2 linked regions of the Styela clava genome follow. The protein of the gene in region 1 interacts with the protein of each later gene in a biochemical or structural test. Links are inferred from orthologs where the notes say so. Each region holds a gene or a part of one and is shown in the gene's direction. Other genes may lie near its edges.

The links. The genes of interacting proteins can lie anywhere in the genome.
Region 2: the proteins of alpha-2-macroglobulin receptor-associated protein-like (region 1) and sortilin-like form a complex in vitro, tested with the Homo sapiens proteins (4 studies listed by BioGRID and IntAct, with this or other methods). The link is inferred for Styela clava from reciprocal best matches to the Homo sapiens genes LRPAP1 and SORT1.

The regions. Positions count from the first base shown.
Region 1 is NC_135251.1:11,781,292-11,792,395, forward strand, and holds the start of alpha-2-macroglobulin receptor-associated protein-like, read left to right. Parts: upstream 1-7,088; 5' UTR 7,089-7,197; coding exon 7,198-7,353; intron 7,354-7,804; coding exon 7,805-7,949; intron 7,950-8,491; coding exon 8,492-8,583; intron 8,584-9,652; coding exon 9,653-9,803; intron 9,804-11,104. Other genes in the region: uncharacterized protein LOC120336713, read left to right, coding at 16-108, 455-617, 1,305-1,425, 1,830-1,908, 2,136-2,307, 2,682-3,087. UniProt on the Homo sapiens protein: Molecular chaperone for LDL receptor-related proteins that may regulate their ligand binding activity along the secretory pathway.
Region 2 is NC_135257.1:16,369,691-16,380,350, reverse strand, and holds the start of sortilin-like, read left to right. Parts: upstream 1-5,456; 5' UTR 5,457-5,506; coding exon 5,507-5,725; intron 5,726-6,072; coding exon 6,073-6,212; intron 6,213-7,436; coding exon 7,437-7,524; intron 7,525-8,055; coding exon 8,056-8,219; intron 8,220-9,371; coding exon 9,372-9,529; intron 9,530-10,094; coding exon 10,095-10,222; intron 10,223-10,660.

The DNA.
Region 1 (11,104 bases):
AATATTTTTAAATAGATGGAAACATAACAGCGGTCGACAGCGCAGAGCCAATAGACACAACTGATAATTATATCCAAACAAACGAAGACCAGATCGATTCTAATCCAGGTGAAAGACTATTCCAACACTATCATTTATCGTTAAATGAAACGTCTCCTCGTCACATATCGAAACCAAAATGAAAGTTATCTAATATGATAACCATCTTAGCAGTGGCGTATCTAGGGTATGGTAGCCATGGTTCGTGTCATGTACGCCGTTTGAATAGGAACGCAAAAGGCGAAAAATTTGATTGTCAAATGTTTCAATAAAATAATTGAACCCTTTGTTTCTATTTAAATAATAACCTACAAGTATCTCAATTTAACAACAGCCATTAAAAATTGTCAGTCAACGATCAAGGGAGTGCATTCACTTGGAAACGAACTTTATAACAATTTAATTAATATTATAGATATCATCATACATGATGTAAAAAATTGTTCCAATCCGACCGACCATTCGGCCTATATAATTTCCGCCGTGGCATCAATAAGAGGAGTTGATGCAAGAAGACGAGGAGTTCCGTGCGAACCTATTGTGGAACTGGATCACAAAAGCTTTTTGTTTCATTGCAGGTGTGTATTTATGATTGTAAGGTAATTCTTGATCAAATACAACGCCATAATTTAGGCCATAATTTCTTTCCGATTTTCCTCATTTTAGTTCAATTACGATTTCGAGGACCGTCTGTGTTAGACAAGTGAATATACATCTGCCCATAAGCTCCGTCCCTTCACCCTACAACTTGATGTAAAGTAGACGAACAAAATTATTTACCTCCGTATTGGTACACACTTCTGGAGCGCCCAAATTTTAAACTAAATGTAACTGTTATCTGATAACTGTTGACAAATAACTGCGCCATATGACGACGGCGATGGTCATGATACATTTATTTAATCTCCGCTTGTAAAATGTTTTGCCCCTTTCCTATTTTGTTTTGTGTATTCACATCTTTAATTGATTTAAAAGTTATTGCCCGATTTTATGACGTGTTTGTTCATTTTACCGTGAGATTCACTGTTTCGGTGGTGAGCGCGTACTTTTGTACGTTTTTAACCTTTAACCTTTAAGTTATCATCTCCTTCTCGGTCACTCTGTTGCATTGTGTTCGTTACTGTTATGTTGTTTTTAAGTCAGAGCGAAGAGAATAAATTTGATTGATTGATTAAAACGTATCGTTGGCGGTATGTCGAATCATGATATATCATTAGATCAGTCTTAATTTTTAATTAGAACAACTTACCTATTTCTTTTTTTAGAAACTTTATTTTCAACGATGAAGACTTGCATAAACATTTACAGGGAAATCCTCGGAACATCAAACGTCTGTTTAATGTCATCTCTCTCACAGCTAGAATCATGAACTGTTTTCATAAAAAGGTAAGTGACAGCGTTTGAGCAGCATTGGATGATATTATGATTTTTCACGAGGGAATTTTCTGTTTCGCGTTCTTGTCCGTTAGCAGTAAAATGCTACCTCAGATCAAAAAACGGCGTTCCAGAAGTATGTGTACCCATATGGAGGTAATTAATTTGTTTCGCCTACTTTACATCAAATTGTGTAAGGGGACTGAAGCCTATGGGCAGGGGGTATATTCACTTTGTCACACAGACAGTCCCCGAACTCGTAATAAACTAAAATAAGGAAAATCAGAATAAAATTTTGGCCTAACCTTAACCTGGTGCACACACTATGGGAGTATCCGGAAATCTGATAAAATGCCAAATATTTCTGTGCTGGTAATTTTTATTGAATATGTAATTTCTTGTATTTTTTATAACAGGAAAAGCGTACAAGATTTATTCATTCACATATCAACGATAACACTCATAATGGACCTTTTCTTGATGACAACCGACTCGGTAAATCTGAAATTTTATTTGTGATTTAGACTAGACGCAGAAGCTGAAATTCTGAGCAATATTTACTATTGGTGTGGTATAGTCTGTTTTATTGATTGCAGATGGTTTGACGGTTTATTAGTGGATCACCCATGGGAAACGTAATAAAAAAATATCCTACTCGAAGTTATTTTTAAAACTTATTTATTATACTATATATAATTTGAGAGTTTTTTGTTTCAATCTAGTTCGCACTCAACAAGGTGCGGAGGACTTAGTTCGTTGGATTGTACTTGCTGACCAATGGCCGTACAGAACAAGTTATATCTTGCAAGTTATTGAAGATGCAGATCAACGAGGAAGTGCTGGAATTGAGCAAGAAAAGATACCAGATGATTGGACGATTTTTGAGATATTCCAGTAAGATCTTAGTATTTCATCAACAATTATTAATTTTGATACTATTACAAAAACATTTATGAATGGGCATTTCCATTGATATGATAAAACGTAAAGTAGTATTTGTCAGATTTCTATAATGGTTCAGGAGTATTCCAAAATTTGCATTTTTCTTCTGATTCGTTATATACTTTTGAATAAAGCTCATAGTTATTTGATATAACTGAAAAATACTTCGAATAATGGGGTAAGACAAATAATCATGATTTGTTTTTGGCTTCATACTATGGAACGAAATAGAGGAATACAGAATGTCTGTCGCTGCTCAATTTCTTCTATTTGTAAGAATGTTTTGTTTTATATTTGACTCAAATTTATTCCATTTTTTCTATTAGAAACAAAGTGCAAAATGAATACGAAAAAGGTGAATCGTTGTTAAGTCTCGATGGTGACCCGGATATATTCTACAGTTACATTCAATTGCTCGGGGATTGCGGCTTCACAAAATCAAGGATCCAACGTCTTGAAAGATACACTGTCAATTTGGATTATAGCTTACGACATACAATAGCATTCTATCGAGACTTGTCTTGCATGAACCCAAATGAAAGTAAAACGCCTGTTCAACCAGACGATGACAACGAAAAAGAAAATAAAAATGCAGCGACTAAAAATGCAACTAAGGTTGTTGTAGAAGCGAGGCCGGAAGACCCTCAAGTAGCTGAAACGAGTTTTCTGCGACTGGACAAACAAAGCGATGATCGTAGACTTTCCTTGCCTGCAATGTTAGAACATTGCTAAAATAATATTGCATTTATTTTTTACTAATTTTGAATATATTTTTAAGATTTATCTTCCCTATTGCATTTTAGATTGTTAGATTTTAGTTTATTTTTTTCGGTTTTCAAATAACTCCGTCCAATGTTCCAATTCTTCAGTATCAAACAATTTAGCTTTCAAGAATAACGTGCAAATTATCGTGACTCCTGCCGTGACCAAGAGAGACAGGCTGTTCATAGAAAGTTAGTTTTCTGAAAATACAGATTCGTCATGAAAGAAACCGAAATTAAAAAGAATTGACTTTCCGATCGTGTTTTATGATATATACGTGTTTCATGATTTCAAATCTTTGGACCCTGGGTCGCTGATCATCTTCGACTCGACTCCTATCAAGTGTTAGAATGCAAAGACGAGTCAATTCACTGTTATGGCGAGTCGCAAGTCAAGCTTTTTTAAATCACTAGTCACAGTAGATTTCGTGAAAACAGCGAAAGGGATATTCAGTCACATTTACATCAAGAATTGAAAAGTTTCATCTCGTGTTAAACCGAAGATATTTTGAGTATCAAAACAGAAGTTGAATTACCAACCGTGCAACCATTTACCTCAGATAAGCACAGCAACAAACTATTGAAATTTTGATTTTTGTCCACATTAATCGATTTCCTTTTGCTTGTTTCAAAAACTCGCGGAAATATTTAAAAAGAAAGTCTTTCTAGTTGTTAGTGCGAGTCCGAGCTATTTCGTTTAGATCAGAGCCCAGGGGTGTGCAACATTCTCTATCGGTAGGCCGTATAAATTTAGGTTTACCATACGTCCCGCTTTAGGCGGAACAGTCCCGCTTTTTAGCGTCTTGTCCCGCCGTCCCGACAAGTCAGCCAAAAGTCCCGCTTTTGCGTTCAGCCATCCAGCATAATACTCGAACATGTTCTCGTTACTGTTGTTTCTGTGAAGCGCAGCGCTAGCCTACTTACTGAAGGCGATTGCGTTTGTTTCCTGCTGATTCCCATTGATAGCAGACGTATCGCATGTAAAACCATTACTAATTAGTCTAAATTCGAATTATTTGTACCGATATCGTTAACGTCAATTTCTTTATATTTTTCGAACTGAATCCGATATTCGTACAGAGAATATGCGCATGAAAGTTCGGTAACAATATGGTCAATAAAGACAGCCGGGACAGCTCTAAATGTAGGCGGTGGTGGGATTCAGCCGGTTCGCACCGGTTCTATAGAACCGTCTCACGGAATTTAATGAGATCAGCGGACCGGTTAGCATTGCTAAAAAACATGAAACAGAGCCGGCCGAAAAATATGAATTTTGTGATGGAACCAGCTGACAAAAAATTTGAATCCTACCACTGAATGTAGGCCTATGTAGTAAAATCGGAAAATGTGAAGTTACAAAATCTTAGCTAAGGGGTCGTTGTCTTTTGAGGCGTCCCGCTTTGAAGTCACAAAAATATGGTAACCCTACGTATAATCAACTTCAGCCAACTAGCTGGGCCATACAAAAAATAGTATTTCAATGTACATTGGCAACATACAGAGCGCCGCGGGAAAGGCAAGAAAAGAGAATGCGGCCATCGCTTAGTCATAATAAATGCACCGGGCAAAACAACGAAATATTTAACGTAGCGACTAGAGCAAAAAATCTTCAAGTATTTTTATCCATGCAAGCGGCTTTTCTTAGACATAAACTGTCGGAATAGAATTTTATGCTTAGATTGGGGGTTGTTGACAAGGGCCACACCACATGGCTTTGCGGGCCGGGTTGTTGACCACGGGCCGCCTATTGCACACCCTGGTTTGGATGAACGGAGTCTTTGTGAAAAGGTTACCACAACACTGGTTTGGCATGTACAAAGAAAACCTCCGCATATATATGTAATAAATAAATCTTTTATCGCAAAATTAAATTTCGAAAAATTTATGACGCTTCTCACCAACAGTGGCGTAAATAGGGTGTGGCAGCCACGGCTCGTGCCATGGGCGCCGTTTAAACAGGGGCGCGAAACGGCGGAAAATATCAATAATAAAACGTTTCAATGAATAATTTCAAATTGGGAACAACTGAATCTTGTATTTTTTCCTCAAATAATAACGTAGAAGTTTCCTAGTTCATTAACAATCAATATAAATTATCAAACAACTATCAAGGGAGCGCATTCTTAGACTTTGCCATCGGCGCTATTTTAAGTAGATACGCCACTGCTCACCAACATAAAAAAGCCCAGCAAGAACGTGGATTTAAATTAGTTGGAAGAATACTAGCTGTTGTAAATCCCACCGATCGGAGAAGGTAAAATATTTAGAAATTTTAGAACAGTAAACAGCCCTAATGAATTTATCTAGTTTTGAATAACTCAAAACAAAAATGTGATGTGAACGACTCAATTAGGTATTTCCGCAGAAATGTGCACATGGGTCGATTTGTTATTAATATGTTGTTTTTCTTTTCCTTGTTTGTATTTTTCTTCGTGATGTTTTGAACAAAGTTTCATTCCGGTTGGTTTAGGTAGGAACTCCACCACGTTCCGATCGTTGTTCCGTTATGGCTTTCGTGTCCATATATTTGGGCATCAATCTCTTGCTTCACAACAAATTTTTGTGTGGCTTAATTTATGCAGTTGTGGTGTCTTCTTCGCTAGCCTCTTGCACAACCAGCGAAATCCTGCTGCCCGAATAAAACATGGCATTAAAAGTGAACTACAATGAAACGCAGCACTTCGAGAGAATCACGACAAAAACATGATATCTATATACGTAAATAACAATTAAGTTTCTGAATATAAAAAATAAAACTTCGGCACAAAATTCAAACATGGTCGGCCTTGATGGTTAAAAAATTAGCATGCATGAATAGTCCAATATTCTATGCAATCGAACAAGTAAATGATGCAAAAAATTCATGAGTGTACAGTGTACTAACGAAATGCTTTTATTGTTATTAATCCGGCAATTTTGCGTCACGATTCCGATACCCATAGCGGTTACTAATATGTTAGTTGCAAGACTTGTAGGTTTAAGGATAGATCGGAGGGGTCGCGTCCAGCATAGTGCATAGATAAAGAGATGTTACATAACATAGATCTGCAGATGTTAGTGTACCGGTACGGTACCGGTACATTACTGCATTAGATGTTACCGATACATGCATTGTCTGTGCGTCCAGGGTACCGGTACCGTAATTACGATTTTCCGCTACAACAACTCGCGTCTGACAGTTCAGTGGAAGCGAAAATAGATTGAAAAAATATAGTCGATACCGGTACTCTGGTACTGGTAAAGTTAGTCCAGTGTAGTCTGGACTGTGAAGGTACCGTACCGGTACGGTGCTGTAAAGGGATTTGGATACGGTGAACCGTTTACTCATAAAAGTGTAAAACAACAGGGCAACTCGTTTACATCGCAAATAATGGGGTCTCCCTAAAACCAGGCACTTGCGATTTCAGGTACTTTGATATTTTTTTTATTTCTACCGTATGTCAGTAGGTATGTTATTGGGGTTTCCAATTTATTTGACCTAATAATTAGACTCTAAATAAATTTTTGCATCCTTATACAGTATCGAAGCAAGCTTGGAAAAGTCTTTTCATGTTTCATATTAATGTATTATTGATAATAGAACGCTGAATTTCTGGCATTACTGCCTTACAGCAATAAATGCTCAGAAATCTGAGAAATGTCTCATTTTCAAGCTCTCTGTATATCAAGCTCTTTAGTTTGAATATTTTTTATTGTACCAATCAGCCAATACTCGTAGGCTATTATTGTTTATTAGTTGACAAAACAATAAATCGCTACCAGATGAGCAGACTTTGCTTAACAGCATACGGATGAATAACAGAATAACACTACCATACTGCACTAGGGCTTATTTTTCAGAAATATGAAAACCGATATCCATTTACTTATAAATAACACACTTTTCTGTTTTTATTCAAAATACTGAAATAACTGCTGAGAACATGGATTATCAATCATTTAAAATGCGTAGGAGATTTGTTAAGTTCATATTTTTTCTTGTTATCTCAGTAATAAAATATAGTCTACATTCCTTTTATTACGGTATTATCTTGCAAAATAAAAAACGATTTGATTGATTGATTGAACTTGGAACTTAAAAATGCATAGAAGTATATGCATCATCTTTTGCGCACAATTTATCCTGTCAATTGCAGCTGGTGGAAGTAGAGATGGCAATGAAATACCAAATTCTGATGATAATATTCGAAAGTTTCGAAGTGGAAGAGTTAATCAAGTCTGGGAAAAAGCAGAAAAGGTTGGTTTGATTGTTTCTTACAGTTCTGCACCATCAAATTCAACTTCATTATGATTCTATCTCAGTCTCTGCAGTACGGCACACTTTACAGATCGAGCGACATTGTCTTGTTTCAGAGAATCCCATTTTCCCAATCCTTTCAGGACATCTGGACATTGTTGTCCCTCAATAACAGTGAAAATACAGTAACATGAAGTTAAACAATGGACTAAAAAGAAGCGCAATCTAAAAACGTCATCATTGAATTCCTCAGGAAAAAATAATGTGTTTGTTTTATTGAACCAAATGACAGGACATTCTTGAAATTGGAAACTGTGCCCAACTGCCCCATGGTAGTAATCATTGAAGCTTCACTGATCAGAATAATTCAATTTTAACATAAAAGTGTAAATGCTGCAATATCTCACTAATAGTTTGTGTTTTGTGATACTGATTTATTTTTTATCAATAGATGAAGCTTCCAGCACTGAAGATGACAGATTTGTACGCTGATTTGAAACACCATGATCGACTATTGATGGAACACAAACGAAATAAAGTTAATCAAGGTGAAGATGACGGTCTCAAAGAAGCAGAGCTCACTGATGCCCTCCATGGTGGGTTACATCTAACTAACTGTAAAGAGCTAATTTATCAAGGATTTTATATCACTTATTCAGTCATGCTTTGTATCATCTTGGAACATGGAATTATATTTTTGTTATGGTTTTGTATTTATATTTCACCAATGTTACAAACTTAAACTGAGATTATTTTGCATGAATGGCAAAATCAAATTATGGTGCGTGCTATTTAAAATATGTTCAAAATTACTGCCTGTTTTGACTATGAAATATAAATATACTACGGTATTTATTATGTCATGGTCATACAAATTCACTAAGATTAATAATCTTTGCAGTGCAAAACAATGCGATAAACTTTTTTTATTATTGTTGACCTTTACCAGAAGTTGAATACTTGAAAACCAAATGTGCCACATGATAATTGAACTAGGTAAATCATGTTTTTGACACAAAACATAGTTTGAATTGTTCTTCAAAACAGCAATTACGACTGTATCTAGTTATAAATTTTGCTTTCGGTGTGTGTCCTTGTCCCCGACTTGCATTTCATTCCTATCTATGTTAATTTTTAGAGATCATGCTGAAATATGGTCTGGCTGGAAAAAAGAGAATAAAACCACAACAGAAGCGGGAAAAAAAGTCTACAGATACCAGGTTTCTAGAGGTAATTGAAATAATTTTTGACTGGTCTTCCTAGTAAGAGCAATACTCCAATATGAGGCCATGAATCTCAGCTGTTTGAGTACTTTCTTTGAAGATCAGTGGGTAAGCATGATTGAATAAAGTGATTCGATAATACATAACAAAGTCTGTACTCCCGAAGTATGTGAACCAAGATGGCGGACACTGGAACGTAGTATGTGTACCAGGTTAGGGTTAGGCCATAATTTTATTCCAATTTTCCTTATTTTAGTTCTATTACGAGTTCGGGGACTAGCCAAATGACTCCCGTAGTATTGGTACCTGAAGTTAGAGCCTAACTCTGACCTGGTACATATACTACGTTGCGGTTTTCGCCATCTTGATTCACATACTTCGGGAGCACCAAAAAGTCTTTTGAGGAATTCAAATGAAACTCGAAATTTTGGATGAAATATCCGGTCATACAGGATGCAGAGAAAGTTTGAAAAAAACATAAGAGTAACAGCTTATTAGTGGCTCAAAGCATTTAAAACTGAATGGTCCATTGCATGCGGAGAAAAGCCATATTTACCCAACAAGAACAATAACCCCAGCAGCAAAAACAATTTTACAAAACATTACATAAGTCAACATTGTCTTGAACAAGAAAACAAAATAGCAGTAAAGCTATTCCAGTCAGTATGTTTCAATAATTTATTCTGGTAGTGGCACACTCAGGATGACACTAGTTCTGAAGACATGGGAAAAATACGCCCCGTGTGCCAAATCCGGCCCGCCTGATGCTGTCGAAAATTTCTTCTTTAAACTAATTCTACATGCACTACATTGTAAATCTGGTTTGCCAATCGCCACAACCAAATGAGAACCAAATTTTGATGTTTTAGCTAGAAAATAGCTCAAGGAATTTGTTGATTAGCGATTAATTTCAGTTTTGGCACGAGGCTTATTGTTGCCACTTTCACTTTTGAAACACTGTTCATAAACGGAACTTTTTATGTCACGCCAGTTTGGATGGGCAAAATTTTTGACCAAAACCTTGTTGGTCCAAAAACCTTGTCTTCACTAGTTCCTAAAATCTTTATATTCGTCAGGATCCCAAGTTGGATAAACTGTGGCAAACAGCAAACAAACATGGGAAGTTTACAGATGATGAACTAAAAAGTCTTCACATGGAGTTCATTCACCACAGAAAGAAAGTAGAAGAATACGAATTGTTAAAATCAGAAACTTCACAAACTGATGGTAAGCACGATTGACATCGAAGGAAATAAACCAGATATGAGGCCAGTGGCGCAACCAGCGGGGGGGTTACGGGGGTCGTGTCCCCCCCGTTTGAATTTCGTTTTTTTTTTATTATTGTTCTACGTTAAAACAACGTCGTTCCACAGTCATAACAATCCGGTGAAAACTTTTTTCCAGTGCTTTATCACCTCGACGTAATTTAACACCGCCCGACTTCAATCATACCTTTTTGCTGATAGTTACGTAATAATCGCTAACCCCGCGTATATGTTTGTATTCGAAAATGAGATATGTTATCTCAAAAAAGTAGAAATCGCGCGCTTTCGATGCGAATTGAAAGCGACAATAGCATAATGCTATCTCTCTCTCTCTTGTGACGAATACTCTCGTGCTTCATCATCTTGACGCAATGTAACGCCGCCCGTCTTCATGTTATAATAATGCAGTAGAAACTCTGAAAATCTGGATACGAAAATTATTTTCGGAAAAATATTGCTTCGAATAACCTAAGATTTTCTACATATGAAAGGCCGAAAACGCCGTAAACATCCTACCGCCCCCGTCCACGTTCTGATTTAAAAACATTCCACAATTATTTCATTTTTTATCGCAATCGAAAGCAGCCATGTGTGGCACGGCAATAACTAACAGTCGTCGTGAAAGGTTTTCAATAAACTCTGACTTGAAGTGCTTATAAGACGTCGAGGACGTTTTTGGTTGAAAATTTTTTACATTTGTTATCGTATATTTCAATTTAGTCAAGATATGTTGTGCGTCTCGGCAATAAACTTTAAAGCAAATCCTGTCCTAATTAATTGTTTTCATCCTCAGTTTCGATAGTTATCGAACTTAACGGGAAATTTTTTAATTTCTTGCAATCTATAAAATAGCTTCTAAATATTATTTGGTTTCTATCGGAGATTTTATCGTTATCCCGAGTCCTGACGTCGTTGATAACAATATCGTTCATTTTAAGTTGGAGGTATTGGTTTATAATCAAAAAATTATAACACATAACATGAAAAATGTAAATCAACGCCGACTCAAAAAGTAAAACACGTTTTTCCATCTTCATTCTCCATTATTGGCGGACGGAAATTTGGGAATCGGGTTTAACTAATTTGATTATGATGACGATGGTAAACAAAAGTACACAAACATACCATACCGTTCTTAGTTTTTAGTCGTTATTTCTCTGTCCTTTCTTCTTTCTATGTGCATATTAAGACCATAAAACGTGTTTTATTATTGAATTCTGCGCTGATTTGAATATTTCATGTCGGCTGTTATGTATTTTTGTT
Region 2 (10,660 bases), on another chromosome or scaffold:
GGAAGATTCTGTTGCGTGTAATTAACCGAAACAATAGCTAAACAACATTTTTAACGGGAACGTAACAATTGAAATGCCGCTCGGAGGCTATTTCAAGCATGGTCGTGAACATTGTCCCGTTTTCGTAATGTCGGGCGTCATGGATCAAATTCTCATATGTTTTCAGAATTTAGATTTGAATGAAGCTGTCATTTTGTCTAATCACAGAAAGTGTGTCCGAGTGGTCGCTAAGCTTCAGTTTGCATCTTGCTGAAATGATAGGGAAGTAAACAAGTAAGTCGACACTCGGAAAGACATATGTTCATATTGCTATGGATCTTTACCCGACCTTTGACCCCATAAAATTCTTCTTATACTTTATCATTGCGAAATTTTCAGAGCTTATTTTAAGAGCGGTTTCGCGAGTTGGCGCCTGTAAAATAGGGTATCAAACCAAAAATAGGTGTTTTAAACCATCATTATGATTCATCGCATACAACAATTAAAAAAAAATATACCGGTAAAGAATTTTAGCCCAGTCTATCACAGCTATTTGTATGTATGTTTAGTCTATTTGCCTCAAAAATGTAACAGTATCTGCATAATAGTTTAACGGTATAAAAGAGACGGGATACCGGTACATGTTCAAGACCTTACTGGACTAAGACAAAGTTATACGAATGATGCCCTGGAATTGTATTTGTGCTCTCACGCATATCTTTAACTGCTCCTTACAATCTGGTAAATACATAGACCAGTTCAAATTATCCAAAGTTATTCCATTGTTCAAAAAAGGAAATGCAAAGGATGTAAAAAACTACCGACCGATCAGCTTACTTCCTGCATTTTTCAAAATTCTAGAAAAAATTATGTACAAGAGACTCAACCATTTCCTGGACCAAAAAAATTTCTTTTATTCCCAGCAATTTGGCTTTCGCCAAAATCACTCAACATCTCTACTTGTCAGTAAAATTTTAGGATTTGAAAAGAATGAGTATACTCTTAGCATGTTCTTGGACCTTTCAAAGGCATTTGATAGTATTGACCATGACATATTACTAGCCAAATTGTATCATATTGGTGTTAGAGATCAGAGTTATAATTGGTTCAAGGCTACTTATCAGGAAGGAAACAAGTAGTAATATGCAATGACTTAGCATCTAGCACATACTGTAATTTGACTGTAGGCACTTTACAAGGTTCTATTTTGGCTCCATTATGTTTTTCAATCATTATTAACGACTTTCCAAATTCTCTTCATCACTCTGATATCATACTTTTTGCTGATGACTCAACGCCATATCTTCGAGGCAAAGACTTGCCTGAACTTTTGATCAAAGCAAATACTGACTTGGAAAATATTCAAGCTTGGTTGTCTGCGAACAAACTCTAATTATCTCTCTAGCTATTAATTTGGAAAAAACTAAATATATGGTATTTAGCGCACCAAAGCAAAAGTGTCCAACACCGCAACAAAATCTGGAATTGAATGGAATAACGAGCTATTTGGGTGTAATAATTGATGATAAATTGTGTTGGGAACAGCACACAAACTTGAATCTATCTAAAACAAGGTCATCTCTAGGTGCTATTACGAAAATAGCCAACAATTTAAATACATCCTGTTTGATATCCCTATACCACTCTTTAATAGAAAGCCATATTCGATATTGCACTTCGACTTATGTTCATCGCCAAACGTTCATTATCAGAAAAATTCAAATTTTAAGTTTTTCATAGAGGAAATCGAGAAAAAGTTGATGACTTATTTAAAGAGTATGGGCTGCTACGTGTTGAGGATTCAGCTAAATTTGAACTATGCAGCATGATGTTCTCTAGCTACAACGGGCGACTTCCATCCAGTCTGAACAGATTGTTCCGAACAAACCCAAATTCAAATGGCAGAAATAAAAAAAAAATTTTCATTCCATTTGTTGCTAAAAGTATCTCACAAGAATCTATTGCAGTATGTGGACCAAAAGCTTGGAATTCCCTACCTAATGGCTTAAAAAAATCAAAATCAAACTCAGAATTTCGTTCCAAACTTATGCAACATTTGTTATCATCATATTAACCAAAATCTTTGTTTTGAACATATTACTGTTTCGGAGTTTATTTTTTTTAGGGAATTCGGTTACTAAGATGGGCTACTAGAGACTATTTGGATTGAAAGCACCAACAGGAAACTCCGAAGGATATCAAATCACCACTCAGTAGATGGCGACTTCAAACACCGCATGCTACCTCAGCAGGGTGCAATATGAAACAACGGACTGAATTAATATTTTAACTCACCCTTCTAATCTTATTATCATGCTTAATTAGACAAAGACAATAAAAACAGCAAATTAGGTTACAGATAGTAAATTACAATTACATCGTTTGCTAACACCGGTTGTGCTTCATTTACTATCAACATGAGTTTACCTGGTGGCAATCATGCACTAGTAAATTACAATTACATCAAATTTGAATTCAGCCATCAATAGAAACAGTTCTCTTTGTCAAAGTAGCACGCTGGGTCCTTTCTTTTTCATACAGGTCATTGCACAAAATCAAATATATATTCCTCCCTTCCCTCACCCCATGAAACTATATTAGGTACTCTATTGTGATCCTAATATAATTAGGGCAATCCATGACATGGAAACAATGCTTCTCTTTATAAAATATTAGCCTTAATTAAATAGTACTTTTATACATTTATTTTCTTCTGGAAAAAATACAATCATGACAGGTTTTGTGCAAATGCATTTCATTAAGTTTAATTTTCCTTTAATTCTTACCACATTCAGCTTGAATTTTATAAATAAAACAGGAATTTGACACACGAACTGAAGTATTTCACCAAAATCTGTATGGTTCACATTTTTGCTGAAACAGATATATTCCATCAAAGACTCTACTAGTACCCTTGAGTGACGCATATCATATAGGCACAAGAACCGCAAATTTATTTCTTATACTTCGCCCATTCATACTATATGGTCTCACCACTCAAAGGCGCTGTATTTGCGCCTAATTTTGATTTCATTGTTATGTATATGTTTATTTGGTGTTGTGTTGTCTCTATTTTTATATATTGTCTTGTCTTATAAACTCCCCTGTATAAACAGTTTTGTATACTCCACCCTTACCACTTTCACCACACCAAACGACCCATTGCCCCACCTTGCACAACTGTCTATATAAGGGACCATATTATACATATTTAATCTAATGTTTTTTGTTTTATATTTGTCAGAAAGGGTGCATGCCGCACATTTGTGTTTTAGGCCAGTACGGTCTTGTGCATGCATCCCGTCTTAAATATTAATAATTGTTCATTTATTTATTTATCACTATTACGAGACGAATAAACATACATACACACATACAAGACACAGATGTGCGATATGCACCTCAACAAGTATAACTGCAGTTTAGGACTGCTGCGTTATAGTAGGACAACAGACATGCAATATACAAATAAAACTCTTGTACAATAACAATACACAGTACAAAGAGGTGCCCAATGTTTGTCACCATAAGGGACAGTTCTGTCTTTACGGCCCACCTGGCGTGGTTACGGCAGCAAAATTTTACCTGCCATAGGTTTTCAATTTGCTGCCGCTGTAACGGCAGCTCGTCATTGGTTTGTGGCAGCTAAAAAGTCAGTCGCCATAGGTTTGCACGTAGCGGCCATGGTATGGAAATACCGCCATGGTTTTGCGGCAGCTGCGGACGCCACAGAATACTTGAAACTGCACTTGGAGGTTTGGGTTGCCTTAACTTACATACAGACAGATACCGGTACCGGTATAGCAAGAGCTGATATGATAGCCTACATGTCTGGGGTCTAGTATAGTTTAGTACCCCAAGTAGGTACCGTACTTCCTGTGGATGTGGCATAACAAATTTTGGATCTCCTGAAGTACACGCCGCACGTACTTCTAGTTGGCCTGGCTCAACAATATTTGCATATGTCATTCCTAACCCCCACCTGACTACGGTACGTCATGCGAAAACTACCGGTACATCACTGCAAATTCGCAGAGACGTAATACAGCCCTCCAAAGTTACGGATGGTCGCGCAGACAATCATCCGGAATCGAGCAAGCCACGGTATTTCTCTCGTTTTCTCCTCAATGCGATACCGATACTGCGATATGAGTCTAAGAGAGAGATCGCTGGGTCTAGTATAGTTTAGCAGTCTCGTGTAGTTTCGTACGGTACGGTACCTAACGTACGGTACTTCTAGTGGGCGTAGCATACCGTAACAATTTTCTGACATGTCAATCCTAACCCCCACCTGACTACGCCATCAAAAAATTACGTCACTGCGATGTCACAATCGCGTTATAGAGCTTGCTAAAGTATAGGGACTTCTCATGTTTTAAACTTGTTTATAGGTTTTGCGGGTCTCGTGTAGTTTCGTACCTAACATAGGATAGGTACTTCTAGTGAGTGTATCGCAATAATTTTTTGACATATCAATTCTAACCCCCACTTGACTATGCCATCCAAAAATTACGTCACAATCATGTCATAGAGCTCGTCAAATATACATACGATCGCCCGAAATGGCATCGGCGCCGACGATAAAGAACTGACTAATGTCAGCGATCTCTCTCATATTGGGATCGTTGCGACGAGAAAACGAGAGAAATAGTTATTCGATTTCGGATGCTCGTCTTGGACAACCGTTCGTATAGTTTGGAGGGCTCTATTACCGTACGTCACTGTGACGTTGTAGTGACGTAATTTTTGGATGGCGTAGTCAGGTGAGGGTTAGGATTGATATTTCAAAAAATTGTTATGCTACGCCCACTAGAAGTGGATTAGGTACGAAACTACATGAGACCCGGTTTTGCTTGCCCTCCAGAATTCTCCATTTTTAATTTATGTTTGTTATGGAGTTTTCGAAATAAACTATCTATCTATCTAGCTACAATAGTCCGAAATGGCATCTGTGCCGACTATACTGAACTCACTAACGTCAGCGATCTGGGTCTGGTATAGTTTAGTACCACATGCACTTCTAGTTGGCCTGGCTCAACAATTTTTGCATATGTCAATCCTAACCCCCACCTGACTACGTCACCGAAAAATTACAACATTTCGTCGTCACAGTGGCGTAATGAGGCCAAAACGTGCAGACGGTCACCCGAAATCGAGCAAGCTATTTCTCTCGTTTTCTCGTCACAACGATCACGATCAGAGAGAGATCGTCGGCGTTAGCGACTCGTTATCGGCGGCGCAGATGCCATTTCGGGCGATCGTAATTATACTTTTGCAATCCTATGACGTGATGGTGACGTCGTAGTGACATCATTTTTGGATGGCATAGTCAGGTTGGGGTTAGGAATGACATATGCAAAATTCGTTATGCTACGCCCACTGGAAGTACTACTTGTGGTACTAAACCTTACTAGACCCCATTTTTTGTTATCTAGCTAGCCGATCTGCCAATGCCATCAGCTGTCCATTTCTCTCAATTTTGTATTTTTGTTTCATACCCCAGTCAGAAATTTGGAAAATACTACCAATGGCGTTCATAAAATTTATATGCATATTAATCATCACTGTTTCGCTGATAATAACTGGTAAAGGTGAGGACACTGAAAGTGTTTTATCTATGCAAAAGCATATTGGTGGTGCAGAAAAACTTGTTACTTTGAAAAGGATTATTCGTGATGTTGAGACTGGGTCTGGTGAAACTGCGACCGACGAAGAACAAAATATATTGAGGAAACACACTGATGTGGTATGATAAAATTTTTTTGAAAAATCACTATTCTCTGAATTCAATCTGTTCAAAATATTCATCTAAAAAATTAGTTGTGTTAGACCAAAACAGCCCAGTTACGCACCCATACCCAGACGAGGAAGCAACCCATTAATTCCCTCTTCTTTCCAAGATAAACCTTACTTTGTTGTAATTACCAATTACCTACAGTAGTCATCTCTTAATTAACTAGAAAATTTAGTATGCAGCTACATTAGTACATGGAAATAATTTTTCCTAAATATTGAAAGAGTTTAATATAAAGTAATGTCTAGGCGTCCAACCTTTGCAATTCAATATCTATTATCGATATGTTATCATTTCAGCATGTGTTCAGCAATGACAGCAACCCATCAATATCTCTAATATGGACTGGTACAGAAGGTGCCTTAATTGCTTTAACAACAATGGGAAATGGGATAACCTTAATTCCATCAAGGCTTTACAGAAGTTCTAACTTTGGAAGGTAGATATGATTTTTTGCAAGAAGTGTTGTGTTCATTCAATGCACTAATAGCGGTCAAATACAAAATATGCTGGCACTAATGACTTAGAGCAGTGGTTGCATTCCCCAGACGTCAAACTAATTTTTGTGAACTCTCTTACTTTTAATGCATAAAGCAGGAATTGCTCAAATTTATTATTATGAACATAAGAATGTATGTCATGACAATGGCTATTGTACGCTGTTTGTTTTGTAGTAATTAGAACAAGCGAAAACACATGTCAGTTGTATCAACGTTTATCTTGTTGGTTTACTTGCTGAATGTGCCTATCGTTAATTGTCAGTTTAGTTTATTCTAATTATTAAAATTTGGCATTAAATATAAATGTCGGAAAGTTGGCGACGGGGGTCGAACATTTTAAAGTGGTCGGTCGGAAGATATTTATTCGTTGAGCGTTCGTTATATGTGATTTTAAAAACCTATTGCGAATATTTCAGTTATACTTTAATAATGACATGTAAATATTTGTATATAATATTATGTATTATGAATGCTATACACTCATTTCCTGTAATATTTTGTCTGATACACTGTTGAAGGGATTACCATTTTAGACAGGAAGCTTGACAACATATTGCTCGTAGATTGCACTCATGTGTCTTCATTTGATAATTCATAAGACACCCACACCTCTATAATACCTATGATACCATACATACAATATTCAAATATGAATATTTTCTTTGAGCAAGCTTAATTTCAACAAATATGAAGATGTAGTAAAGCAGTAAACTGTATTTCATTTTTAAGTTCGATGAAATTTTTTTTTATTGCAAATCTATACAAGAATGCATTCAATTTCAGGAAAAATCCATCTAATCTGGGGCTTATCACTGCTGTACTTTCTTATGGTATTATTGTAGAATATAATTCATAGTTTTTTACCTGGACTTCTTGTCTTTGTAGATGTATGTCAGTATGAAATAAAAAGTGTATGCCAGATATTTCATACTGGTTTACAATGTAAAATGAGTATTAACTTTGTTTAGTTCCAACTTTTGATCACCCTTGAGCCCTGGCATTTAATTTGGGGAGTTTGATTTTCTTTAATTCTAATTTATTTTTGTTCAGTTCAATTATTCGCACAAACAAAAATCATAATTTCGCATTATATGGAAGCCAATTTTCTCACTAGAATGTCGAAAGTCAAGACTGAGTGACAATCAATACTATTTGTTTTCTAGATCTTTTGTGGACATATCAGACAAGATCGAGCATGATAGAATTCTGAACAATCATGGAATGCTTGTCAGTCCAGTTGATTCCAACAATGTGAGTGTGTATTTTGTTTTTGAATTGCAGACATATATATGTATGGAATCTTGCTTACAATTTTAAAACCTAATGGATAAATGCTGGTATACAATTATTAGAAATGATATTATCTCAATTACGATCTACTAGTTTTTAATTTTTCTGGAACTAAATTGCTTCCAAATAGTAAATTGTTACGTACGTTATCATCATTAACTTATTTTGAGAATGGAAGATTTTGTTATGATTGATGAGCCTTTCTGTGTGGATAACATTTTGGTTAACATCCTGATGTCACATGTTAGTGGTCTCGGTTTTTCTTGGGAGCGAATCCAGCCCCATTGGCTTCTTTTAATCTTTCATATTGATGACTACATGGACAAAGCATTATTTGTAGTAAATTTGTCAAGTGCTACATAAAATAATAAATAACTCCCGTAGTATGTGTACCAGGTTAGAGTTAGGGCATAATTTTATTCAGATTTTCCTTATTTTAGTTTTATTACGAATTCGGGGACTTTCAATAGCAAGAAAAATTGTTTTTTCCAGGTGATGTTGGTCACTGATCAGAGTTTTTCCTTATTTGCTCGTGGGATGGATTACAGGAGCGTTGTGTATATTACTACAGATAATGGTCAAAGTTTTTCGAAGAGTAAACTCAAGTTTATAATTGATCCTAGTTCTGTCTATTTCAACAAATATGATACTTTGAAGTAAGTAAGACTGAAACTTGTTAGGTTGTTTCACTTGTTTTTTGATAAATTTTAATATTATCCCAGGAGAGTGGAAAGATAATATGGCTGAAGTGTGAAATTTCGCCTATCAAAATTCGGAATATTTAGAAATAAACCCATAAGAAAAAAAATTATAGTGGGATAAAAATGTCGTTTAGAGCTGAATATCGAGCGAGTTTTCAATCTTTATAATACTTTGTATAGTTCTAAAAAATTTTTTTTTAAACAGAATAAATTTTGCAAATGCTACCAAATATATTCAAATACCAAAATTACGGCTTCGTATAAGGTATAAGTATATATTGCAGATAGGTTTTGGTTTTTATTGAATTCTAAAAACTTTCACTGACTAAAAGCATTTTTTTATATAATAAAAAATTTATTGCACGAAATTCCATTGTTGAATGGTTTGATCGTATATGTTGTAAAGGTAAAAACATTTGTTAGCTGCTACATCATGTGACCATTACTATGCACAATTATTCCAGTCATATTTACATGAATGTGAAATGAATCATGTGATATTTATGAACTGCTACTCAAGATTGTAAAAATTGACATTCCTTTCATACATGGTTTGTCTGGTATTATACCAGATTCATTATATGAGCTGGTTAAATTTTAATAATTTGCCACCTTTAATACAATAAGGATTCGGGAATACAAATTCTTTCATATTCAATACCAAAACTGGTAATCTAATTCCGGGGTCATTTTAGAGGTGACATAATGTCAGAAGACATATTTCTGACTCATTGTTCCACTTTGTCAGCTGCTTTGTGGAATGTACTGATACAACATGATTTGCATGTTAGATGGCTGTTTTGCTATCTAAAATAACATATTCAATGAGATAAATCCGAAATATTTGAAAATCTATGTTATTGTATGATACAATTATCATTAAATTGCATTTGGACTTTATTCTGTTAATAAAATGTATGATATTGGAAATTTAAAGATCTTGAATTCAATGTTTTGTGGTTCTCTTTATGTAGCAAAATTTTTAATTTCAAGTTGAAAAAATATTAGGGGGGAATTTTTAACGTTGAAATTTTCAGTAATTATTTGAATTTGTTTGTTCTGATACCTGTTTATTATTATTAAAGCTTATCGTGATCATTTTTTTAGAATCTTGGCAATTTCATCTGACAACCATGGCTTGTGGATTTCTTATGATTTTGGTTTGGTATGGCGACATATATCTGATCATGTGATTCAAGTAAGATGGGATCCTACAGATAAAGACACATTTTATTATGCAAAAGATCCAACTGGGAGCATGATTTGTAAGTTATAATTTTATATCATACAACTTCACTTTCCAATGGTAATCTTCCTAATGCGTAGGCTTTCATGATGTATATTTAAGTAAAAATCTTTTTGGAAATAGGTGTTATTGACATTTATCGATCATTTACGATCTAGTTCATTCCTCCTTATCTTAAGTTTTTTTAGTCCAGGCTATTTCATGTACATTTTTAGCATTATGTAAAGGATATGATTTCCATATTCACTCCGGGGGAGAGGGAAAATTCTAAGCGACTTAATAATCATAACTGCAGCCAGTTGTCTGTTTACCGGTCCTTATTGGGCATGGGGTTAGTTGACCAGTTATTCTGTTCTGATAGATAGGCACGGTGGTGGAGAAAGCCATAACCACCAGTTATCACGTGAACCCTCTGATGGCTTGGAGTCCAGCAATCCTCTCACACATGAGCTATTTATTTTCCACATGATTCAACCCTACCCGCGTAAGGTGGCAAGTATATTCTTTACTTTAGCATGAGAATCTAAGTTCTTTTTCATTTATATATTGTCACTTTAAAACTACTATTTTCATTTTATCATCAGCTGGTGCCTTCAATAATGAATTGTATCGCGGTAAAGCATCGTATATAGAATCAACAAAAATTGCGGAACATATTTATAGCTTTGGTGTTCAAGGTGGATTCATCTTTATATCAGTGGAATTTCTTTCTGTGAGTGTGCATGTTAATAATGTTGGATTAAAATTAATATTTTTGGAATCTAAGTAGTTTATAGAATGTTTGGTACTCCCATAGTATATGTACCAGGTTAGGGTTAGGCCATAATTTTATTCCAAATTTCCTTATTTTAGTTCTATTATGGTTATAACAGACCCGCGGGGGTTCTCGAACCCCAGTTTTGTGAATCTTGCTCTAAGATACACCGTTCTTTTAATTTATTCAAAAGAAAATTAAACAAATGTACTTTATTTATTCATATCATTAATTCATATCCTTGCGGACACCCTGTGCAGTTATTATGACCCGTGGGGGTTCAGGGGGGAGTTTGGGGACTGTTTGTGTTAGCCAAGTGAACATCCCCCCTGCCCATAGGTTTCAGTCCTTTTACACAACTTGATGTAAAGTAGGCGAACAAAATTATTTATCTTC